3 linked regions of the Anolis sagrei genome follow. The protein of the gene in region 1 purifies or fractionates together with the protein of each later gene. This does not show direct contact. Links are inferred from orthologs where the notes say so. Each region holds a gene or a part of one and is shown in the gene's direction. Other genes may lie near its edges.

Region 1 (7,139 bases):
TGCTGACCAAAAGGTCAGTGGTTCAAATCCAGGGAGCAGGGTGAGCTCCTTCTGTTAGCCCCAGCTTCTGCCAAACTAGCAGTTCAAAAACATACAAATGTGAGTGGGTACTGCTTGGGGGGAAGGTAATGGTGCTCCATGCAGTCCTGCTGGCCACATGATCTTGGAGGCATCTACGGACAATGCTGGCTCTTCGGCTTTGAAATAGAGATGAGTACCACCCCCCAGAGTTGGACCCGACTAGACTTAATGTCAAGGATAAACTTTTTCTTTATTGTATATTTGTGTTGTCAATTCCTATGATAGCACTAAGGTTTTGAAGACATTGAAAAAGACTCTCAGTTTTAAGGAAGATGCTTTTCAATGCCTGTTGAAAGTGAAGAAGTATCAACACTTATACACAGAGCAAATAGCGACGGAGGGTGGTATATGCCTGCTGTCTTGTTTTTCACCTCTGTTTACTAGATCTATGTAACTCAAGGTGTTTTGCTTCTTGTCTACGTGAAAAAGTCACTTCCAAGTTTTCACTAAAAGTCTTTAGTGTGCTTTATTACCATTTATTTTAAAAGGGAGCACCATGATGCTTCTCAACCTCAGGATGCCTTACAAAGAGACATGAGAGTCAGCATCAAGGAGTCTTCTACCAAATTTAGCTAAACTTTTTGTCTCTCTATTATTCTATACATACAAGATGTATAATTGATTCTATGATTCTAAGATGTATTATCTGCAACAATAAAAGTACATTTTTACCTTTGAAACCCTTACCAGAGTATCCTGTGCATTTTCTCTCCTCTTTCCTACCACAAGTTCATATACCGCACTCTACTATAGATACCATATATTTCAACAATGATAGCTTTTGAAATAAATACATTTAGTCTCTGGGTAGAGGCCTAGATGAGTCCATCTGCTTAGGATTAGTGGGGGGGGGGGGGGAAGAAGGAAGGGTAACATTTTGTTTCTGTTTCCTTAGTTACTTACCAATAATTAAATTAATAATAAAATATATATTTTGAGTATATGAGGCTCTATGAATGGATCAAAGTGTAGAAAAGTTATGTTCTAGAATCCCTTAACGAGGGATTTCTCACCCTCAGGGTGAGAAAAGCGGTATACAAATACTGAAATAAATAAATAATTTTTTTGTTATCTTGAAGTTTTATATGGATATTCTACTTTGGAAATTATTATTATTATTATTATTATTATTATACTTTATTTGTACCCCGCTAGCATCTCCCGAAGGACTCGATGCGGCTTACAAAGGCCAAGGCCTCAACACACAATATAACAATACAAAGAAAGATGTCAGAAGCATTGCAAGTTGTTCCTCCCTAGCAATTCCTTCCCACTGAATTACTCCTTTCCCACTGGAGATAAGACAGAATGGCTCCATTGGTTTGGTACAGGTCCAATCTACACCCGGACACCTGATTGGGCCTGACTGAAGTCCTCACAGGGGCTTCATTTTGCCAATCTATATGAACACCACCATTTTATTACAGCATTGTATATAATGAAACTTTAGAGGTGACAGATTTTGGTACCCACAGAGTTTTCCTGGAATTGACCACCAGCTGATACCACAGACCTATTGTATACTGAAAAGTTGTAAATTACAGCCCTAGAATATGAATGCAGCAAATACAAGAATTCTAAATGTGGAGGAGTTTCAACTATGTGGAGGAGTTTCTCTACAGGGCTAAACATTTGCATTTCTGCAGTAATACTGTCATTTTTAAGTGCATCCACACTGTAGTAGAATGACTGCAGTTTGACACCACTTTAATTGCCAAGGCTCAATACTATGGAATCCTGGGAGATGTAGTTTGGTGTAGCACCAGAACTCTTTGGCAGAAAAGGCTAAAGAGGTTGTAAAACTACAAAATTTATAAATTACAATTAAAATGGATAAAATACACAATATATAAAGATAAAAATATTAAAACAATATAATGTAAGGTAATAGAAAATATTAGGTTTTTTTTAAATCCTACGTATGGAGACTTTGGGGCTACCCTACATTTCTTCTTATTATCATTCATTTATATTATGTTTGTTTATATTAATTTTATTATTGTTATTTTAAGTTATTAGGATTAGGTATTATTGTTGTTTAAATTAATTTATATTATTATTTATATTATGTTATTGTATATTAGTTTCATATTATTTATATTATTTTATATTGTTGCCTATATTATTATTGTTGTATATTTTCATTATTTTATATTATTATTGCTTTGTATTATCATTAAAGGTAAAGCTGTCAGACTCTGGGGGGTGGTGCTCATTCCATTTCTAAGCCAAAGAGTCGGCATTGTCCGTAGACACCTCCAGGGTCATGTGGCTGGCATGATTGCATGGAGCGTCATTAATCTCCTGCTTGTGCGGTACCTATTGATCTACTCACATTTGCATGTTTTCGAACTGCTAGGTTGGCAGAAGCTGGGACTAAGAGCGGGAGCTCACCCTGTTCCCTGGATTCAAACCGCCAACCTTTAGGTCAGCAAGTTCAGCAGCTCAGAGGTTTAATCTGCTGCACCACTGGGCATCATTATTTTTAAATCAAATATTTATATTATTGTCGAAGGCTTTCATGGCTGGAATCACTCAGTTCTTGTGGGTTTTTTCGGGCTATATGGCCATGTTTCGGGCTATATGGCCATGATTGATTATGATTCAAACAAGACGAAGCGGATTTTTAGCTTAATTAGCCGTGTGTTAGTAAGATGTGTGTTATGGTCCTAATCTATTGTAATTGTTGTCTTTATGTTCTGTGTTCTGTACACTGCCACGAGTCGCCTTCGGGCTGAGAGTGGCGGTTAACAAATGCAAATAATAATAATAATAATAATAATAATAATGTTCTAGAGGCATTTCTCCTGACGTTTCGCCTGCATCTATGGCAAGCATCCTCAGAGGTGAGGACCTCACCTCTGAGGATGCTTGCCATAGATGCAGGCGAAACGTCAGGAGAAATGCCTCTAGAACATGGCCATATAGCCCGAAAAAACCCACAAGAACTGAGAGATTTATATAATTGTTTATATTAGTTCATATTATTTCAAATTCTTGCTTATAATCTTATTATTATTATTATTATTATTATTATTTTTTATATTCTCATGATTTCTATTATTTATTTATTTGTATTTATTTATTTGTCGTGTCAGAGCAACCAGTCCATTATATTACATTTCTAACAGAACAAAGCAAACAAACAGAAAAATACACAACTTGTGAGTTTGGTAGCTGGTTAAATGTCCTTTGACCAGTATCTGGCCATTTGGAGTGTTGCTGCAAGAAGGTCCTCCATTGTGCATGTGGCAGGGCTCAGGTTGCATTGCAGCAGGTGGTCAGTGGTTTGCTCTTCTCCACACTCGCATGTCGAGGATTCCACTTTGTAGCCCCATTTCTGAAGGTTGGCTCTGCATCTCGTGGTGCCAGAGCGCAGTCTGTTCAATGCCTTCCAAGTCGCCCAGTCTTCTGTGAGCCCATGGGGGAGTCTCTCATTTGGTATCAGCCATTGGTTGAGGTGCTGGGTTTGAGCCTGCCACTTTTGGACTCTCGCTTGCTGGGGTGTTCCAGCGAGTGTCTCTGTAGATCTTAGAAAACTATGTCTAGATTTAAGTCGTTGATGTGCTGGCTGATACCCAAACAGGGGATGAGCTGGAGATGTCTCTGCCTTGGTCCTTTCACTATTGGCTGCTACTTCCCGGCAGATGTCAGGTGGTGCAATACCGGCTAAGCAGTGTAATTTCTCCAGTGGTGTGGGGCGCAGACACCCTGTGATAATGCGGCATGTCTCATTAAGAGCCACATATTATTACTAATATTAATAATTATTACTAATATTATTACTAATATTATTACTAATATTATTATGTTTGTTGTTATTTGCCTATTAGACACCCAGGCGGAAGGGCAAAACAGACCAGAAAATAAACCTCCAACTAGCAGGTGACTCTCCCTTTAACAGAAGACTTCTTCCCTGCTGGAAAATCAGAGGCTAGGCAATATATGAGTTTAGTATCACGGGAATTGTAGTTCTGAAGACCACGCTCTCTGAAGCATGGCATAGATGAGCTGTTCGCACTAGGCCTACAAATCCCATGAAACACCGGGGCACGGGAAGCAAGCGGGTCACGTGAGGCCCAAAATGGCGCCGCTGTGTCAGAGCGTTCCGGGCCCGGTGGCTGACAGAAGAGGGTGAGGAAGGCCAAGAGGCTGGCGCTGGGCTGCGATGCAGAAGATCAAGTCCCTCATGACCCGACAGGTACGGGGAGCGGGAGAGGCCTAAATTGCCGAGGAGGGCTGCGCCTCGAAGCGATCCGGACAAAAAGGAGCAGCAGGCGGGTCCAGGTTGGGCTGAATGAATGCTGCTGCTGCTGCTTTAAAGCAAGGCCGGACTTCCTTGGCTTGGTGTGGCACCCTTTCACAAGAAACATAGCGTGTGTTTTCAGGAGGAAACAAAATCCCAGAAACCAGTAGACAACCAGTTAACGGGTATCCATGAGAATTGGTAGATGGCGAATAAATGTCATTTCTGGTTGCTTGAGAGTTGCTATTAAAGATAGGCCTAACTCATACTATACCCCATATTATACCGTACCATGAACTCTGTGTTGACGTGATATCAATATTAAATTACCGTAATTAAAAGCAAATTAAGACAAATAAGGACAAATTTAATTTAATGTGACACAGTTTTAGAGTATTATTTATTTATTTACAGCATTTATATACCGCTTTTCTCACCCCGAGGGGGACTCAAAGCGGTTTACACATAGATAATGGCAAAAATTCAATGCCTTACCACTACAACAGTAAAGCCACACTTTAAACATAAATCATATTAAAAACAGTACATCATCAAATATCAAAACAGTTATTAAAACCATAAAACAATCCCATCAGTCGAGTCACCATTCCAGTCCTTGTCCCACTAAACCCTGCATACATCTATTGTCTGAGGCCTGGTCCCAGAACCATGATTTTCATTTTTTTCTAAAGGTCAGGAGCGAGGGAGCAGATTTTACCTCCTTTGGGAGTGTGTTCCATAGGCGGGGGGCCACAGCTGAGAAGGCCCTGCTCCTTGTCCCCGCCAGCCGCATTTGCACTGTTGACGGGAGCGAGAGCAGGGCCTCCCCGGATGATCTTAAATTGTAAGGTGGGACATAAGGGCAGATGTGTTCAGACAAGTAAGCTGGGCCCGAACTGTATAGAGCTTTATAGGTCAAAAACAGCACTTTGAATTGGGCTCGGAGATGGACCGGCAGCCAGTGGAGCTGGCATAACAGGGGGGTGGTATGCTCCCTGTATGCCGCCCCAGTTAGTAATCTGGCTGCTGCCCGTTGAACTAACTGAAGTTTTCGAACTGTCTTCAAAGGCAGCCCCACGTAGATCTATTATAAAAACAATGAACACAGTTTACTGCATTATTTCTACAATATATATCAGGCATCAGCAAACTTTGGCCCTCCAGGTGGTTTGGACTTCAACTTAGGAATTGTGGGAGTTGAAGTCCAAAACACCTGGAAGTTTGCCCATGCTTGGGGTGTATGCGTTGAACAAACGTTTGCAAATGCAGAGTAACTGACACAGGAAAATGGAATGACTAGACAATGAGTCCGAACAACATTTTTAACAAGGAGACACAATGAATTATATTTTATTGATTTGTTTAGTTTTTATTATATGTTACGTTTTTAATTGTATTTATGACATTGTAAGCATTGAATTTTACCCTGAGTCGCCCACGGGCCGAGAAAGGCGGTATACGTATACAATAAATAAATAATAAAATTTTATTTATACCCCGCCACCATCTCCCCTAGGGGACTCGGGGCAGCTTACATGATGCCAAGCCCAACAACACATCAATAACAACAAAGCAGCAAGCAAATAAAACAGTACAATTAATATAGCTCACATATATTAATTGTGAGCACCCCCAAGTCTGCTTTGCTCAGACATCATTTGGAATGAGTTTCAATAAGGAAAAATGAGCAGAAAAAATGAAATGCATAGATCTAGGATGAGGGACACCTGGCTTGATAACATTACATGTAAAGGGGATCTAGGACTGGGTTATTGTGAGTTTTCCGGGCTGTATGGCCATGTTCCAGAAGCATTTTCTCCTGATGTTTCACCTGCATCTATGGCAGGCATCCTCAAAGGTTGTGAGGTCTGTTGGAAACATTTTCTGAGTTTTCCAACCGACCTCACAACCTTTGAGGATGCCTGCCATAGATGCAGGCGAAACATCAGAAGAGAATGCTTCTGGAACATGACAATACAGCCTGGGAAACTCACAACAACCCAGTGATTCTGGCCATGAAAGCCTTTGACAATACACAGATCTAGGACGCTTTGTAGGCCACAAGCTGGACAGTGTGTTATGGCAACTAATAAAGCCAATCCATAGGAGTATAGTGTCGACATCAAGGGCAGTCATAGTCCCAGTCTATTCTGTTTTGGTCAGGCCTCACTTGAAATACTGTGTCCACTTCTGGCATCACAATATATGGAAAAGTTTATGAATTTTGTTGTCTTGATTGGTTGAGCATTATTATGCATACTGTATTTTTGTTGTTGTTGTAAGCTACCCAGAGTCGATTTGGAGAGAGGGGGTGGAATATAAATAAAGTGTTGTTGTTGTTGTTGTTGTTGTTATCTGGAACCCAGTTCAAAGCAGATATTGTCGGATTTTCTGCCTTGATATTCTGAGATGGAGGGCTGTATGATATTATTGTATGATATTAGCAAATAGGTTTGTCACTGTTATTGACATGACAGCCATCTTTCAGTAATTTCAAGATGGAGTAAGCTTGTTTTTTGCTTATCTAGAGGTTGGCACACAAACAATCAGATTCAAATAGAAATCTGATTATTTGTGTAGAAAAGAGATTCTGTCTAAACATTAGGAGGAACTTTCTGATGTTAAGAGCAGTGGAATGGCTTGCATAGGGGATGATGGACTCTCCTTCATCAGAGGTCTTTTAACTTGGTAGCAATCTTGCAGAAGTGCTTTATTATGTATTATTTCCTGGAAAGCGGTTGTACTAAACGGACCTTGGAGTCCTTTCCAACTCAAATGATTATGTGGTAGCAAACAATTTATGGAAGCTGCT
Region 2 (7,630 bases), on another chromosome or scaffold:
CTGGTATTAGTACCTCTAAAGCTAGCCATTTAAAAAACCTGCAAATTTTGTTGACTAGTTCTAGATGCTGCTCAGTGGTTCTCAACCTGTAGGTCCCCAGATGTTTTGGCCTTCCATTCTCAAAAATCCTAACAACTGGTAAATTTGGCTGAGATTTCTGGGAGCTGTAGGCCAAAACATTTGAGGACTCACAGGTTGAGAACCACTGAAGTAGCTCTTTTCATTTTGAGTACACACATATAGTTCTTGGGTACTACAAGGCAGTTCTGTTGTCATTCACCATGCCGTAGAAGGTCATGCAGTGGGCAAAGAGACATACCTAGCTTTGGAGGACCAGCTCCTCCGAACACCAGCTGCACTGTACGTTTTCTTCCTATGCCACTCATCTCACCAGTGCTTAAAAGGACAACTACCCCAGATATGGGCTATATCCCTCACTTGGAGATGCCCTGATATCTTCAATTGCTGCTCAATGTAACAAGGAGTGGGATTTCTCTTTCAGCACTAGAAAAAATTGCTCTCACATGAAGAGATTTGGTCCCGGGAGGGACACTCCATGGGATGGAGTTGGCATTTGTGCACTCTATTCACTGTCTTAAATCACAACTTCATCTTGTGATTGCTTGCTCTGGCTGGAGATTACTTTGAAGTTTATAATCACTTATATCATTTCATATCATATTCAAGTGACTGCTTGAAATTTCTTTTGGATTGAGTTATTGCGCTGCTACCAATCAGAGCTTTGATGATATAGTGGGTACTGTCTAAATTATCTGGCAAAGAATCGTGGCAAAACACTGGTGCTGGTAGACTTCAAAAGAGAGACAGAGGGATTACTAGGTCAAAACACTGCAATAAATGTCATAGATTTTGATGAGACGTGTCTTATTTACTTTTGCAGTTAGTTACTTCAAAGCAAGGATATGCCTTTATACTGAATTGCAGAAATATCCAATATTTGTTCTTCTACACCAGTGGCTCCCAACTTTTGGTCCTCCAGGCGTTTTGGGCTTCAGCTCCCAGAATTTCTAACAGCTGGTAAGCTGGCTAGGATTCCTGGATGTGGAAGTCTAAAACACTTGGAGGACACTAAAGTATTCTTTACAGGAATATGGGGAATCCAGCATGCCAAAAATATGATAATGGTGCACGAAATGATAGAAGACAAAGAAATGTAAAAGAAAATATGTAGTGAAGGGGATTCCATTTCAAATTGAGCATTGCCATGGAGAGCATAGAAAGCATGCTATAAATTTTTAGCTGAAAGCAACTTGAACTGAGCCATCCCAAAAATGCAGTTTTCAGGTACTGAAAAATAATTTCCCAAATTCAGCTCTGTCAGGTTTGGCTTCACTATGTACAACACTTGTCTTTTTGGAAGAGAAAGCAGGGGTGGGTTTCTGGATGCTTAAAATAGAAAAATATGTGACAAATTATTTTCTTTAATATGTTTGCAAAGATTATTATCATTTTAATAAAACAAACATCTTTGTATAATAAAATTCAGGAAGTGTATGTTATATGTATTTTCCCACAGTTTGAAGTAAAGGGTCAATATATACATGCCAATAATATATTTTTTTAAACCCTCTGAAATCAGGACAGTAAATAAAGAGGAACACTAAAAACAGGGGAATTCCTGACATGAAACAATCAGGGGCAGTTAACACCTCCCAACAAAGGATTCCCTCAGGCTTTGAAGCTGCAAGACCATTCAATGCTAATCAAGGTGGCCAATTTATTTATTTGTTTACGATATTTCTACCCCACCTTTTTCAAACCCGAAGGTGACTCAAGGTAGCTTTACAACATAGGCAACTATTTGATGACATTAAAATAATTTAAAAATTACAATCAACATTTAAAACAGAATTACAACATACATACATTAAAACCTTTAAAAACATATTCCAACACTCACACTTGCCTCAAACAGATAAGAGTTCTTTCTCCCACCCTGGACATTATTCCACAGATATATAAACCCCAGTTGTCTACATTCCAACAGAATTCACAACCTCTGAGAATTCCTGCCATAGATGTGGGTGAAACATCAGGAGAGAATGCTTCTGGAACATGGCCATATAGCCTGGAAAACTCACAGCAACCCAGTGATTCTGGCCATGAAAGCCTTCGACAATACATGCCAATAATAATTAATAGCAATGAATTGTTGCTCTTAATGTTGACTTGTGAATGAGACTTTCAAGTAATCCTATCGCCAACACCCTTCTTGAAGTCTTGCAGACCCAGGGTGCATCTACACTGCAGAATCCATGAAGTCTGACACCCCTTTAACTGACATGGTTCAATGCTATGGATCCTTGGATTTGTAGTTTGGTGCGGCACAAACAGTCTTTCTCAGAGAAGGCTGAAGACATTGTAAAACCATAACTCCCAGGATTCTGTAGCATTTAGTCATGGCAATTAAGGTGGGATCAAAATGCTTCATTCCTGTGGTTCTCAACCTGTGGGTCCCAGATGTTTTGGCCTTCAACTCCCAGAAATCCTAAAAGCTGGTAAACTGGCTGGGATTTCTGAGAGTTGTAGGCCAAAACACCTGGGGACCCACAGGCTGAGAACCACAGCATAAATGTAGATGCACCCTTATGATTGAGTGTATCCCTCTGCAGTGTAGTCTTTACCTTTTCCTGCTGCCTTCCCCCTTAACAAACAGTATTGCCTTTTCTAGTGAGCCATTTCTTTTCAGGATATGGCCAAAGTACGACAGTCTCAGGCCAGATCAACACTGCCATATCATCCTTTTTTTTGAATCCAGATTATCTGGATTATATGGCAGTTCTACACTACCATATAATCCAACTCAAAGTAGATAATTTGGATTCAGAAATTTATTTATTTATTCACAACATTTATATGCTGCCCTTCTCATCCTGAAGGGGACTCAGAGAGGTTTACAAATAATATGTAAATACAATCTATATAAATAAAAATGTAATCTTTGTTTGTGGGATTAACATAACTCAAAAACCACTGGACGAATTGACACCAAATTTGGACACAATGCACCTGTCAGGCCAACGAGTGACCATCACTCATAAAAACACTGAAAAACACAGCCGAAAAGACTTTAGAAACCAAAAAAGCAAAAAGACACCACAGCACAAAAACGACTTCCCCTGGCGAACAAAACACACAATAGCATATCCACACTCTCCTCCAGACTACAGCTCCCAGCATTTCCTAGACCAGACCCTTTAGGAGAAGGGGATGATTCAAATGCACTGCTTCCAAGCTGCAAGATTCCTTCTCCTTGGACTTCTTTGAGAGTATCCCAATCCCTGCATATTTCCAATTTCCTATTCCTGGACTGCAGTTCCCAGCAATCCTCCAGATAGATAGATTAGATAGAGATAGGTAGGTAGGTAGATAGATGGATGGATCAGGAGGACTGTTGGGAGTTGCAGTCCAAGAATAGGTAGAGAAGGTAGAGAGGAAAGAAAGGTGAAGGGAAAGAAAAAAGGGGGTGGGTGGAAGGGAAGAAGAAGAGAAGGAAGGAAGGAGAGAAAGAACGAAGAGAAAGAGGGAGGAAAAGTTGGCCACAGCAACGCATGGCGGGTACAGCTAGAAGAAGAAGAGGAAGAAGAAGAACTTTATTTTTCTACCCCACCTCCATCTCCTCGAAGGGACTTGGGGTGGCTAACATGGAACCCAAGCCCAGGCAGAATACAGTTAAAATAAAGCAATAACAATTAAAGCAATATAAACAGCATAAAACAACATAATAAAAATAGCTAGCAATAACAATACCAGCAGACTAATTTTGGAGGGGGGGGGGGGAGGAAAACCACTACGTGAACTAGTTAAATGATAGTTGGTTTAATAAGGTAGATGACAATGTATAACGGCATAGGAAAAATCATGGAAACAGAGCAAATTAACAGGATCAGTTAATATAATATAGGACATCAGACTGAATGACAATTCAAGTCATGATACAGGCCATATATCATAGGAGTTGTCAACCGAAAGCTAGTATATTATATTATTACCATAGCACAATATTAGTATTATATATTACTATATTGCACTATACTATTATATTGTAATATTATTAGTAATATTACATATAAGATAAAATACATAATTATAATATCATATTATTATTATATTGTATTACATTATAATATTATCAATATTATATGTTTATACAATATATTATAGAAACGGGATTCTATGGCAACGCAGTGAGACAAATCTCCCCCTTGGAAGGGAAATTGACTCTTGAAAGAGTTTATCACGGGGGGAAAGTGTCTCCACTGCAGCTTTGGCACCAATCCTTGTTTCCACGACAAGCCGCATTTTTCAATATCCAATAATCACAGGGACAGAAAGAGAGAGTTGAAATCCTCTGAACAGGGGCTCAGGCAGCATCACAAACCCCACAGGAGTGTTCTCCCTTCCCTGCGCCAGCCAAAGCGAAGAAATACACGTGCCTGGCCCCTTCTTGGCCTCACTTACTTCCACTGACAGCAACACCGGCAAGGCCTCCGAGGCGAAATAGGGAAACCCACCGAGTGCGCATGCGCGCCCGCTTTCACGGTCCCACTGCAGCCGCCGTCTCTTCTGCCGCTGCGTGAACGGAGCGTCTCTTTCCATCCAGGAAGTGGAGAGAAAGACGGAAGCCGGCGAGGGACGTGCAAGCACTTGTTGTGAGCTTCGCCTTTTCCCTATGGGGCTTTGAATGGGGATTGCTTCCCGGAAGCCATGGAGGATGATGCTCCCGTGATTTATGGGCTCGAGTTCCAGGTAATGGGGAAGAAGGGGCTTCAATGAGGGTTTTTTTTTTGTCGTGTCATGATCAGCATGGTAATTGGAAAGGAAGGGGAATGCTGTGAACAGCAGCAACACATGTTTCCTATAATCTAGGACCCCTTCCACACAACTGTATACAATCCCACAATATCTGCTTTGAACTGGGTTATATGGCAGTGGACTCTGGGCCTTTACACCCAGCCATATCACCCAGAATATCAAGGCAGAAAATCCCACAAAATCAGCTTTGAACTGGGTTATATAGCAGTAGACTCTGGGCCCTTCCACCCAGCCATATAACCTAGAATATCAAGGCAGAAAATCCCACAAAATCAGCTTTGAACTGGGTTATATGGCAGTGGACTCTGGGCCATTCCACCCAGCCATATCACCCAGAATATCAAGGCAAAAAACCTCACAATATCTGCTTTGAACAGGGTTATATCACAATGTGGACTTGGGCCCTTCCACCCAGCCATATAACCCAGAATATCAAGGCAGAAAATCCCACAATATCTACTTTGAACTGGGTTATCTGAGTCCACACTGACATATATTCCAGTTCAAAGCAGAAAATGTGGGATTTTATTCAGTTGTGTGGAAGGGGCTTCAGATAACCCAGTTCAAAGCAGATATTGTGGGACTTTCTGCCTTGATATTCTGAGTTATATGGCAGTGGGGAAGGGCCGAACCTCACACCAAATGCATCTGTAAATGCAAAACGTACAATTTTATAAATACAAGTTGAGTATGACTTACCTGAAATTGTATTGGATTTCAAATTTTTCAATGTATTTTGGAATCTCTGTATTTGCATCATGAGATACCTTGTGGTGCATCTACACTGCAGGGTTAATGCAGTTTGACACCATTTTAACCGCCATGGCTCAGTGCTATGGAATCAGGGGATGTGTAAAAGATTGTGTCTCTCAAATAAGCCCAATGGATGTTTTTTTGGCCTGGATATATTGATAATGGCCTTCTTCTAGGGCTCTTAAAAAGAAATTATTATTATTATGTATATTTATATCCCACCTTTTCTCTACACAAAGGAGATTTTGGGAAAGAATGACCTTTGACATCATAACCTTTTGGAAAACCAGAATCTCCAAAGCCTTTTTGGAAGTGCGACCCTTTGGAGATTATTTATTTACAATTTATTTATGACATTTGGCATCCACACAATTTGTAATGATTATAACCTTTTTGTAAAGTATGATAATCCTGAGAAGAGCTAAAAACTCATTTGAGTGAATCTTTTCTTTAGTGGTATATATCCACTAGTATTCGTGCAAGACAAATTAGGTATACCAATACACATATTTACAATATAGTAAGTAATCTGAATTATATAAATAGCAAATAACTAGTATAGAAGGCTTGTAGAAGGTTGCTATTTCCAATAGGAGACTTGATGTGTGTGTAATAATAATTGCAGGCAAAACATAAACTGAAAATTTATGGAACCACGCACATATCTTATCTCTTATTGATTATCAAATACATTAGCTAAGAAGCATCATATTTAAAAAGAGAAGTCATATGCATATAAAACAATATTTTATTTTCTCAAAACAATATTTCCTTGATTTTGGGATATGCTTTTTTCCATATAAATATGTCAACAGTTGGGGTGTGGCTTGGGATTGCAGGTGCTTTTTTGTATGTATAAATAAAGCTTTTTTCCCTCTGTTCGTGGTACTTAAATTAGTGCCTATTTTACAATCAATGGCATTTTAGAATCATACCTACATACATACTGTTCCATAAGGTAAGATGGACGCAGAACCCCAGCAAAAGTGAGAAAGCTGCCAAAAACGCTTTTATTTTTACTTGAGAGAGCATCTCTCTAGGAATCTGTTAAGACTAGGGTGAATCCATGGTAAACATCTACCAGAGATTCCTATAGAGATGTTCTCTCTAGGAGTTTCTAGATCATATGTGTCAAACTCAAAGTCCATGGACAGAATCCAGCCCGCCATTTCATTTTATTCTGCCTGGCAGATGCTAGACTACAACTCCTGTATTTTTCGCCATTAGTCAACATGACTAGGACTGATGGGAGCTGTATGTATATTTTTTCATGGGTTTCAACAATATGCTAAATTGTGTTTGGTTAAAACAGAGAGACTAAAGCTTCTAAGGTGCTGCTTGAGCCCAAGGTCTCATAGTTTTTATCTTTGAAATGCCAGACCAAGGGCAAGTAGGATCAATAAAGTTGGATATTATGACATCCTGTTTCAGCGCTAACAGCTGCATTGGTTTCTGGTCTATTTCCAGGACCAATTCAAGGGTTGAATTTAACTTTCATAGCTTAGGATCAGTATATTTGAAGTACATTCACAGGTTTCTCTTTTGCAAATCTTCGGCTTAACAAGTTTGACCTCCTTGCCTCACTCCTTGAGCTGCTCCTTCTATCCTGCAATCAGCGCCATCTCCTCACTCCATTTACTGCCTTCCCACTATGAAGGCTCAGCTAGATCTTAAACCCTTTCTGGCTGATTCATTCCCTTGTCTCACTCCTTCTGCTACCAGATTTTAAAATCCTTTCCTTTCAATCCACCTGACCTTCCCTCGCTGTCCCATAGCACCAACTTTTTATTCTTGTTACAACCTTCCCATGATGAAGACTGCTGGAGTTTAAATCGCTTTCCACCAATCCACCATCTCACCCTATTCCTACTGCTGGCAGGAAATTCTTCTTTCCTGCCAGCTCTGCTCTTGGCATCACTCCCTTTACTGCCCTTTGGTCAGACATGGAAGGACAGGCAGAAGGGCAGCAGAAGAAGTGAGGCAAGGAGATGTAATAGTGGAAGGGAGTTTAAATTCTGGCTGTGCTTTATGGTGGAAAAAG
Region 3 (7,261 bases), on another chromosome or scaffold:
GAGGTAGTGAGGTCTGTTCGAACTAGGAAAAGGGGTTTATATATCTGTGGAATGACCGGGGTGGGACAAAGAACTCTTGTCTGCTGGAGCTAGGTTTGAATGTTTCAACTGACCACCTTGATTAGCATATAATAGCTAGACTACCTAGAGCAAACTTTTGTTGAGAGGTGACTAGGTGTCCTTGTTTGTTTACTCTCTGTTGTTGTGCTGTTCTAATTTTGAAGTTTTTTAATACTGGTAGCCAGATTGTGTTCATTTTCCTCCTTTCCTCCTTTCTGTTGACATTGTCCACATGCTTGTGAATGTCAATGGCTTCTCTGTGTAGTCTGACATGGTGGTTGTGAGAGTGGGCCAGCACTTCTGTGTTCTCAAATAATAATCTGCTGTGTCCAGGCTGGTTCCTCAGGTGCTCTGCTATGGCTGACTTCTCTGGTTGGAGTAGTCTGCAGTGCCTTTCCTGTTCCTTGATTCGTGTCTGGACACAGCAGATTATTGGAGAACACAGAAACACCACCATGCTAGGCTACACAGAGAAGCCATTGAAATCCACAATTTCAACAGAAAGGAGGAAACCATGAAAACAAAATCTGGCTACCAGTATTAAAAAAAACTATAAAATCACAACAGCACAACAGCAGAGAGGAAACAAATAAGGATCAACAGTGACAAATGCAAGATACTCCACTTTGGCAAGAAAAACGAAATGCAAAGATATAGAATGGGGGACAATGCCTGGCTCGAGAGCAGGACGTGTGAAAAAGATCTTGGAGTCCTCGTGGGGAGGAAGGTAAACATGAGCCAGGAATGTGATGTGGCAGCAAAAAAAGCCAATGGGATTTTGGCCTGCATCAAGAGGAGCCTAGTGTCTAGATCTAAGGAAGTAATACTACCCCTCTATTCTGCTTTGGTCAGACCACACCTGGAATATGGTGTCCAATTCTGGGCACCACAATTCAAGAGAGATATTGACAAGCTGGAATGTGTCCAGAGGAGGGCGACTAAAATGATCAAGGGTCTGGAGAACAAGCCCTATGAGGAGCGGCTTGGGGAGCTGGGCATGTTTAGCCTGAAGAAGAGAAGGCTGAGAGGGGATATGATAGCCATGTATAAATATGTGAGAGGAAGCCACAGGGAGGAGGAGGGAGCAAGCTTGTTTTCTGCTTCCCTGGAGACTAGGATGCAATGGCATAATGGCTTCAAACTACAAGAGAGGAGATTCCCTCTGATCATGAGGAAGGACTTCCTGACTGCGAGAGCTGTTCAGCAGTGGAACTCTCTGCCCCGGAGGGAGTGTGGTGGAGGCTCCTTCTTTGGAAGCTTTTAAACAGAGGCTGGATGGCCATCTATCAGGGGTGCTTTGAATGCAATATTCCTGCTTCTTGGCAGAATGGGGGTGGACTGGATGGCCCAGGAGGTCTCTTCCAACTCTTTGATTCTAAGGACATCTAATCACCTCTTAACAAAAGATTGCTCCAGGCACTGTCAGGCCATCAAATGCTAATCAAGGTCGTCAGTTGAAACATTCCCACCTAGCTCCAGCAGACAAGAGTCCTTTGTCCCACCCTGGACATTATTTCAGATACATAAACCCATTGTCCTATTTCCAACAGACCTCACTACCTCTGAGGATGCTTGCCACAGATGCAGGCGAAACGTCAGGAGAGAATGCCTCTAGAATGCCCGAAAAAACCTACAACAACCCAGGGATTCCGGCCATGAAAGCCTTCGACAATACATTGGTCACTACATTTTTGTTTATATAGAAAATGTATGCTTTTGCTGAGTGTATTTTAATATATGGTGATAAGGCTTGGGCGAGACTGGATGGGCCGCCTCCTCCAACCCCATTCTGCTGTGCAGGAAGAGCACCATCAAAGCCCCCCCGAGAGATGGCCGTCAATAACAATAATGACAACAAGGATAACAGAGTTGGAAGCGACTGGATGGGCCTCCAACCCGCAGGGGCCTCCGAAGCGGCCCTCCTTCTCCTTCTTCCGCGGCCTCCCCGCCCTCGAGGCCCGCCCCTACGGAGCCCCCCGGCGGCGCCCTCTCTCCCGCTCCCACCCGGGCCCCGGCCGGCCTCTCCCCCGCGGAGGATGGCGCCGGATGAGGCCTTCCCCCCGGACCCACCATGGCTGCACTCTCGCTCCTCGCTCCTGCCCAGGCCGGAAAAGGAAGTCGAGCATGCGCGCAGGCCTCCATATACAGGCCCCGCCCTCCCGGCCTTCGACAACTTCCGGTGAGAGCGTGCCCGGCTTCCTCTCCACCTCGAAGGCGCTTCCGCGCTTCGCTGTTGCCATGGTGATAGAGAGCCAGGGCGGAGCTTAGAGATAGCAAACCTGTAGAAGAGCGGCCCATAGAGAGATAACGAGACTAACCTCTGTGTACTTGAAAGCCCTGGAGGAGGCAATCTACCTTTGATCTCTATCATATCAGTATATTTATTACAATCCATTTCAATATATGAAAAGAAGATATTTTAATAGATTGCATTGAATGTTTCAACAGAGAGGAAACAACCAGGCACAGATTAACACCTCCCAGCAAGAGATTTTCCCAGGCTCAGGCAGGCCTTCAAATGCTAATGAAGGTGATCAGCTGAAACATTCACACCTAACTACAGCAGGGAAGAGCTCATTGCCCCACCCCAGCCATTCCACAGATATATAAACCCATTGTCCTAATTCCAACAGACCTCATTCCAACAGACCTCACTACTTCTGAGGATGCTTGCCATAGATGCAGGCGAAACGTCAGGAGAAAATGCCTCTAGAACATGGCTCTATAGCCCGAAAAACCCACAAGAACCTAGTGATTCCAGCCATGAAAGCCTTCGACAATACATTGTATTAAAATATACGTGTTTTAATAGTATTATATTAATATATTTGTTATATGTATACTTTTGGTCTGTGTGTTTAATATGGGTGTTTTATTAATATAGTATTATATTTATATATTTATTCTGTGTATGTTAATATATGTGTTTTAATAATATTCTATTAATACATTTATTACCTGTATACTTTTGCTCTGTGTATTTAATATGGGTGTTTTAATAATATATTACTACATTTATATATTTATTTTGTGTATGTTAATATATGTGTCTTAATATTATTCTATTAATATATTTATTATATGTATACTTTTGCTCTGTATATATAATATGGATGTTCTATTAATATATTCTTACATTTATATATTTATTCTGTGTTTGTTAATATACATGTTTTAATAATATTCTATTAATATAATCATTATATGTATACTTTTGCTCTGTATGTTTAATATGGGTGTTCTATTAATATATTATTATATTTATATATTTATTCTGTGTATGTTAATATATGTGCCTTAACAATATTGCATTAAAACATTTATTATATGTATATTTTGCTCTGTATATTTAATATGGGTGTTCTATTAATATAGTATTATATTTATTCTGTGTATGTTAATATTCATGTTTTAATAATTCTATTAATATATTTATTACGTGTATACTTTTGCTCTGTGTATTTAATATGGGTGTTCTATTAATACATTATATTTATATATTTATTCTGTGTATGTTAATATATATGTCTTAATAATATTCTATTAATATATTCATTATATGTATACTTTTGCTCTGTGTGTTTAATATGGGTGTTCTATTAATATATTATATTTATTCTGTGTATGTTAATATTCGTGTTTTAATAATTCTATTAATATATTTATTACGTGTATACTTTTGCTCTGTGTATTTAATATGGGTGTTCTATTAATACATTATATTTACATATTTATTCTGTGTATGTTAATATATGTGTCTTCATAATATTATATTAATATATTGTTACATTTATATTATACTCTGTGTGTTTTAATAGTGTTATATTAATATAAATATTATTATATTTATATTTTAGTCTGTGCATTTTAATATATGTCTTTATAATAATAATAAATAGTCTTATACTAATATTATACTTAATAGTCTTATACTAATATTAGTATATGTATATGTTTGCTCTGTGCCTTTTAATATATGTGTCTTAATTGTATTATACGAATACATTTACTATTATTGTGTTTTGTTCTACTAACCCTAACCCAGTGTTGCTGAGAGATCCCCAGCTGGAAACAGTGCCAGTCTTCCTTCTTTTCCCAGCCAGGCCCCGCCCCTTCCGCTCCGCCGCGCGGTGCATGCCGGGTCTTGTAGTCTCGAAGGGGAGGGAGCGCCTAGGAGACCGGAAGTGGCTTCCCTGGGAGACCCGGATGTGTCCAGAGCGTTGAGGGAGAAGCCAGGCAGGCAGGCGGGCGAGCGGCGTGATGTCGGCGACGGAGGAGGAGGAGGGCGGCGGCGGCGGAGGCAGCGGCGGGGGTCCCGGGCTGTTGCTGCTGCTGCGCTCCAGGGACGCCGAGGAGGATGAGGTAGGTGCACACGGACCGGGCCCCACTTCCGGTCCCCCAGGGAGGCCCACTTCCGGCCTCACCTCAGCCGGCCCCCTCTTCCTTGGGACTGCCTTTCAGACCTTTCTCCCAGGACTCCTTCTCTCAGCCTCGTCTTTGGAGGCTCAACAGGCCCAGCTCTTTAAGACGCTCCTCATAGGGATTATTCCTGTTCTCCAGGCCTGGGATTCTTGGAATCTCCCTCTTCCAGCTTAGAGTCAACGACCAAGGCAGAAAAGAGTGGCCCCAGGACTTCCCTCCATCTTGACCAGGAGTCCTCAAACTAAGGCCCGGGACTTGCCGTATCTTCACTCACTTCCTGAGACCACAGAGACACTCATCCAATTACCAATAAAGACAAGACTTGCAACACAAAGCCCCCATGACCCATTCCACATCGTGGCAGAGTTTCAAGGAGGAGGATGGGACTTCAAGTACCTCCACTCACTTCCCAAGACAGCTGCGACCCACATCCAATGACTAATTATGCACACAGAGCCCCCATGACCCACTCTTCATCCTGGTGCAGTTTAGAGGAGGATGGACCATGGATGATGGGACTTGAAGTACCTCCACTCACTTCCTGAGACAGCTGCAACCCACATCCAATGACTGATCAAAACCAAACTTGGCACACAGAGCCCCCATGACCCACTCTACATCCTGGTGCTGTTTGGAGGAGGATGGACCATGGACGATCATCATCATCATCATCATCATTTAATAACTTATTAAGCCAGGTCTTAAGTGCGAGAGTAAAAGGCCCTAAGTCACGCATGGCTCTCAAGTAGGGTGGCAAGGAATTCCACAAAGCAGGGGCAGAAATAGGGAAAGCCCATCTACGCCTGGTTCTTTCCAAGGGCACTTCTCTAGGACACGGTATATGGAGTAAGTTGCATTGGGCTGGTCATTGCGGCCTCCGATGATGGGAGAAGGAGGGGCCACGGTACTCAGTTGGAAGCCAATGTCAATGTTGCAGGACTGGTGCTCTATAGCATTTCATGGGCATTCTTGTGAGTAGCCTGGCTGCCGCATTGTGAACAATACGGAGCTTTCGGGTTGTAGACATCGGAAGGCCCACGTACAGGGCATTGCAATAGTCCAGCCTAGATGTAACCGTGGCATGGATGACCGTTGCCAGAGCCTCATCAGATAGGTAGGGTGCCAGTTGCCTCACTTGTCGTAGATGGAAAAAGGCCTGTTTGCTGGCAGCAGCGACCTGAGCTTCCATTCCAGCACCAGGATTGTGGCGCAGCTGGCTGAGTGTCAGCTGCATTAAGATCACTCTGACCAAAAGGTCATGAGTTCGAAGCCAGCCCGGGCTGGAGTGGGTGTCCAGCCATTGTGTAGCCCGTTGTCGACCTTTGCAACGCGAAAGACAGTTGCATCTGTCAAGTAGGAAAATAAGGCACCACCTTGTGTGGGAGGCTAAATTTAACTAATTTATGAGGCCATAAAGAAAAAAGACTCCGGGGAATGTGGAATGTGGAAGAACTTCATCGGTGTCGCTGATGGACGATGAAAAGCAGCAGCTCCCCTGGCGGCCAGAAAAATGTTAAATAGCCTTGGTGTATTTGTGTGTTAGACGTTGTTTGTCAAAACTGGCATTGAATGTTTGCCATATATGTGTTGACTGTACCCTGCGGGGTGAGAAGGGCGGAATATAAGAACTGTAAATAAATAATAAATAAATAAACATTGTCAGCTGTGAATCCAGGACGACACCTAAGCTCTTAACAGTGGGCGATGGAGATAGAGCAGCACCATCGAAGGTGGGTAACTGATGAGTCAGACGATGGGACTCACAGTACCTTCAATAACTTCCTGAGACCACTGCAAGCCACATAAATAGCCTGAAGAAGAGAAGGCTGAGAGGGGATATGATAGCCATGTATAAATATGTGAGAGGAAGCCACAGGGAGGAGGGAGTTTCCCTGGAGACTAGGACACAATGGAAGAATAGCTTCAAACTACATAAAAGAAGATTCCATCTGAACATGAGGAAGAACTTCCTGACTGTGAGAGCCGTTCAGCAGTGGAACTCTTCGCCCCGGAGTGTGGTGGAGGCTCCTTCTTTGGAAGCTTTTAAACAGAGGCTGGATGGCCATCTGTCAGGGGTGCTTTGAATGCAATATTCCTGCTTCTTGGCAGAATGGGGTTGGACTGGATGATGGCCCAGGAGGTCTCTTCCAACTCTAGGATTCTATGATAAAGTCCAACCTTGGCACACAATGCGTTTCCCAAATAACCCGGGCACTGCTGGGTCCACAAGTTAGTAAATAATATAAGCTACCTTGAGTCCCCTTCTGGGTTGAGGAAGGTGGGGTATAAATAGGTACATAAATAAATAAACAAATAATTTTTAAATAATATTTTTGGTGAATGTGTCTTTTACAGTGTTGTAATAAAATAATAATAATAATAATAATAATAATAATAATAACAATAATAATATATATACCCTGCCACCATCTCCCGAAGGGACTCGGAGTGGCTCACAAAGCACTCAAAGGTGCAAACACACAAAATACAACAAGTGCATAAATAACATAAAAGCAATAATAGCCAACATATCATCATATATAACCAGCTTCGAGCCATGAGGAGAGGCAGGCAAGAAATTAAATTATTACTATTATTATTCCTGCTGCTTTGCCTGCCTCCCTGCAGAGCGTAACGGCCTCTTTTTTTCTCCCTTCCCCCCCATCTGCAGGGCCAGAGCGAGGAGCCCCTGCAGCTCAACCTGGGGGAACTGGACCTCACCTCCGACGAGTTCATCCTGGATGAAGTGGACAGTGAGTACAAAATGGTGGGGGGTGAG

Evidence for each region.
Region 2: the proteins of VPS50 (region 1) and EIPR1 purify together in Homo sapiens (affinity purification with mass spectrometry; 4 studies listed by BioGRID and IntAct, counting the BioPlex papers as one, with this or other methods). This does not show direct contact. The link is inferred for Anolis sagrei from reciprocal best matches to the Homo sapiens genes VPS50 and EIPR1.
Region 3: the proteins of VPS50 (region 1) and VPS52 purify together in Homo sapiens (affinity purification with mass spectrometry; 4 studies listed by BioGRID and IntAct, counting the BioPlex papers as one, with this or other methods). This does not show direct contact. The link is inferred for Anolis sagrei from reciprocal best matches to the Homo sapiens genes VPS50 and VPS52.

Annotation. Positions count from the first base shown.
Region 1 is NC_090026.1:102,220,694-102,227,832, reverse strand, and holds the start of VPS50 (syndetin), read left to right. Parts: upstream 1-4,133; 5' UTR 4,134-4,249; coding exon 4,250-4,282; intron 4,283-7,139.
Region 2 is NC_090021.1:119,250,679-119,258,308, forward strand, and holds the start of EIPR1 (EARP and GARP complex-interacting protein 1), read left to right. Parts: upstream 1-4,605; 5' UTR 4,606-4,728; coding exon 4,729-4,770; intron 4,771-7,630. Other genes in the region: TRAPPC12 (trafficking protein particle complex subunit 12), read right to left, coding at 4,483-4,546. UniProt on the Homo sapiens protein: Acts as a component of endosomal retrieval machinery that is involved in protein transport from early endosomes to either recycling endosomes or the trans-Golgi network.
Region 3 is NC_090022.1:1,928,099-1,935,359, reverse strand, and holds the start of VPS52 (vacuolar protein sorting-associated protein 52 homolog), read left to right. Parts: upstream 1-4,236; 5' UTR 4,237-4,320; coding exon 4,321-4,422; intron 4,423-7,153; coding exon 7,154-7,235; intron 7,236-7,261. Other genes in the region: RPS18 (small ribosomal subunit protein uS13), read right to left, coding at 2,131-2,202. UniProt on the Homo sapiens protein: Acts as a component of the GARP complex that is involved in retrograde transport from early and late endosomes to the trans-Golgi network (TGN).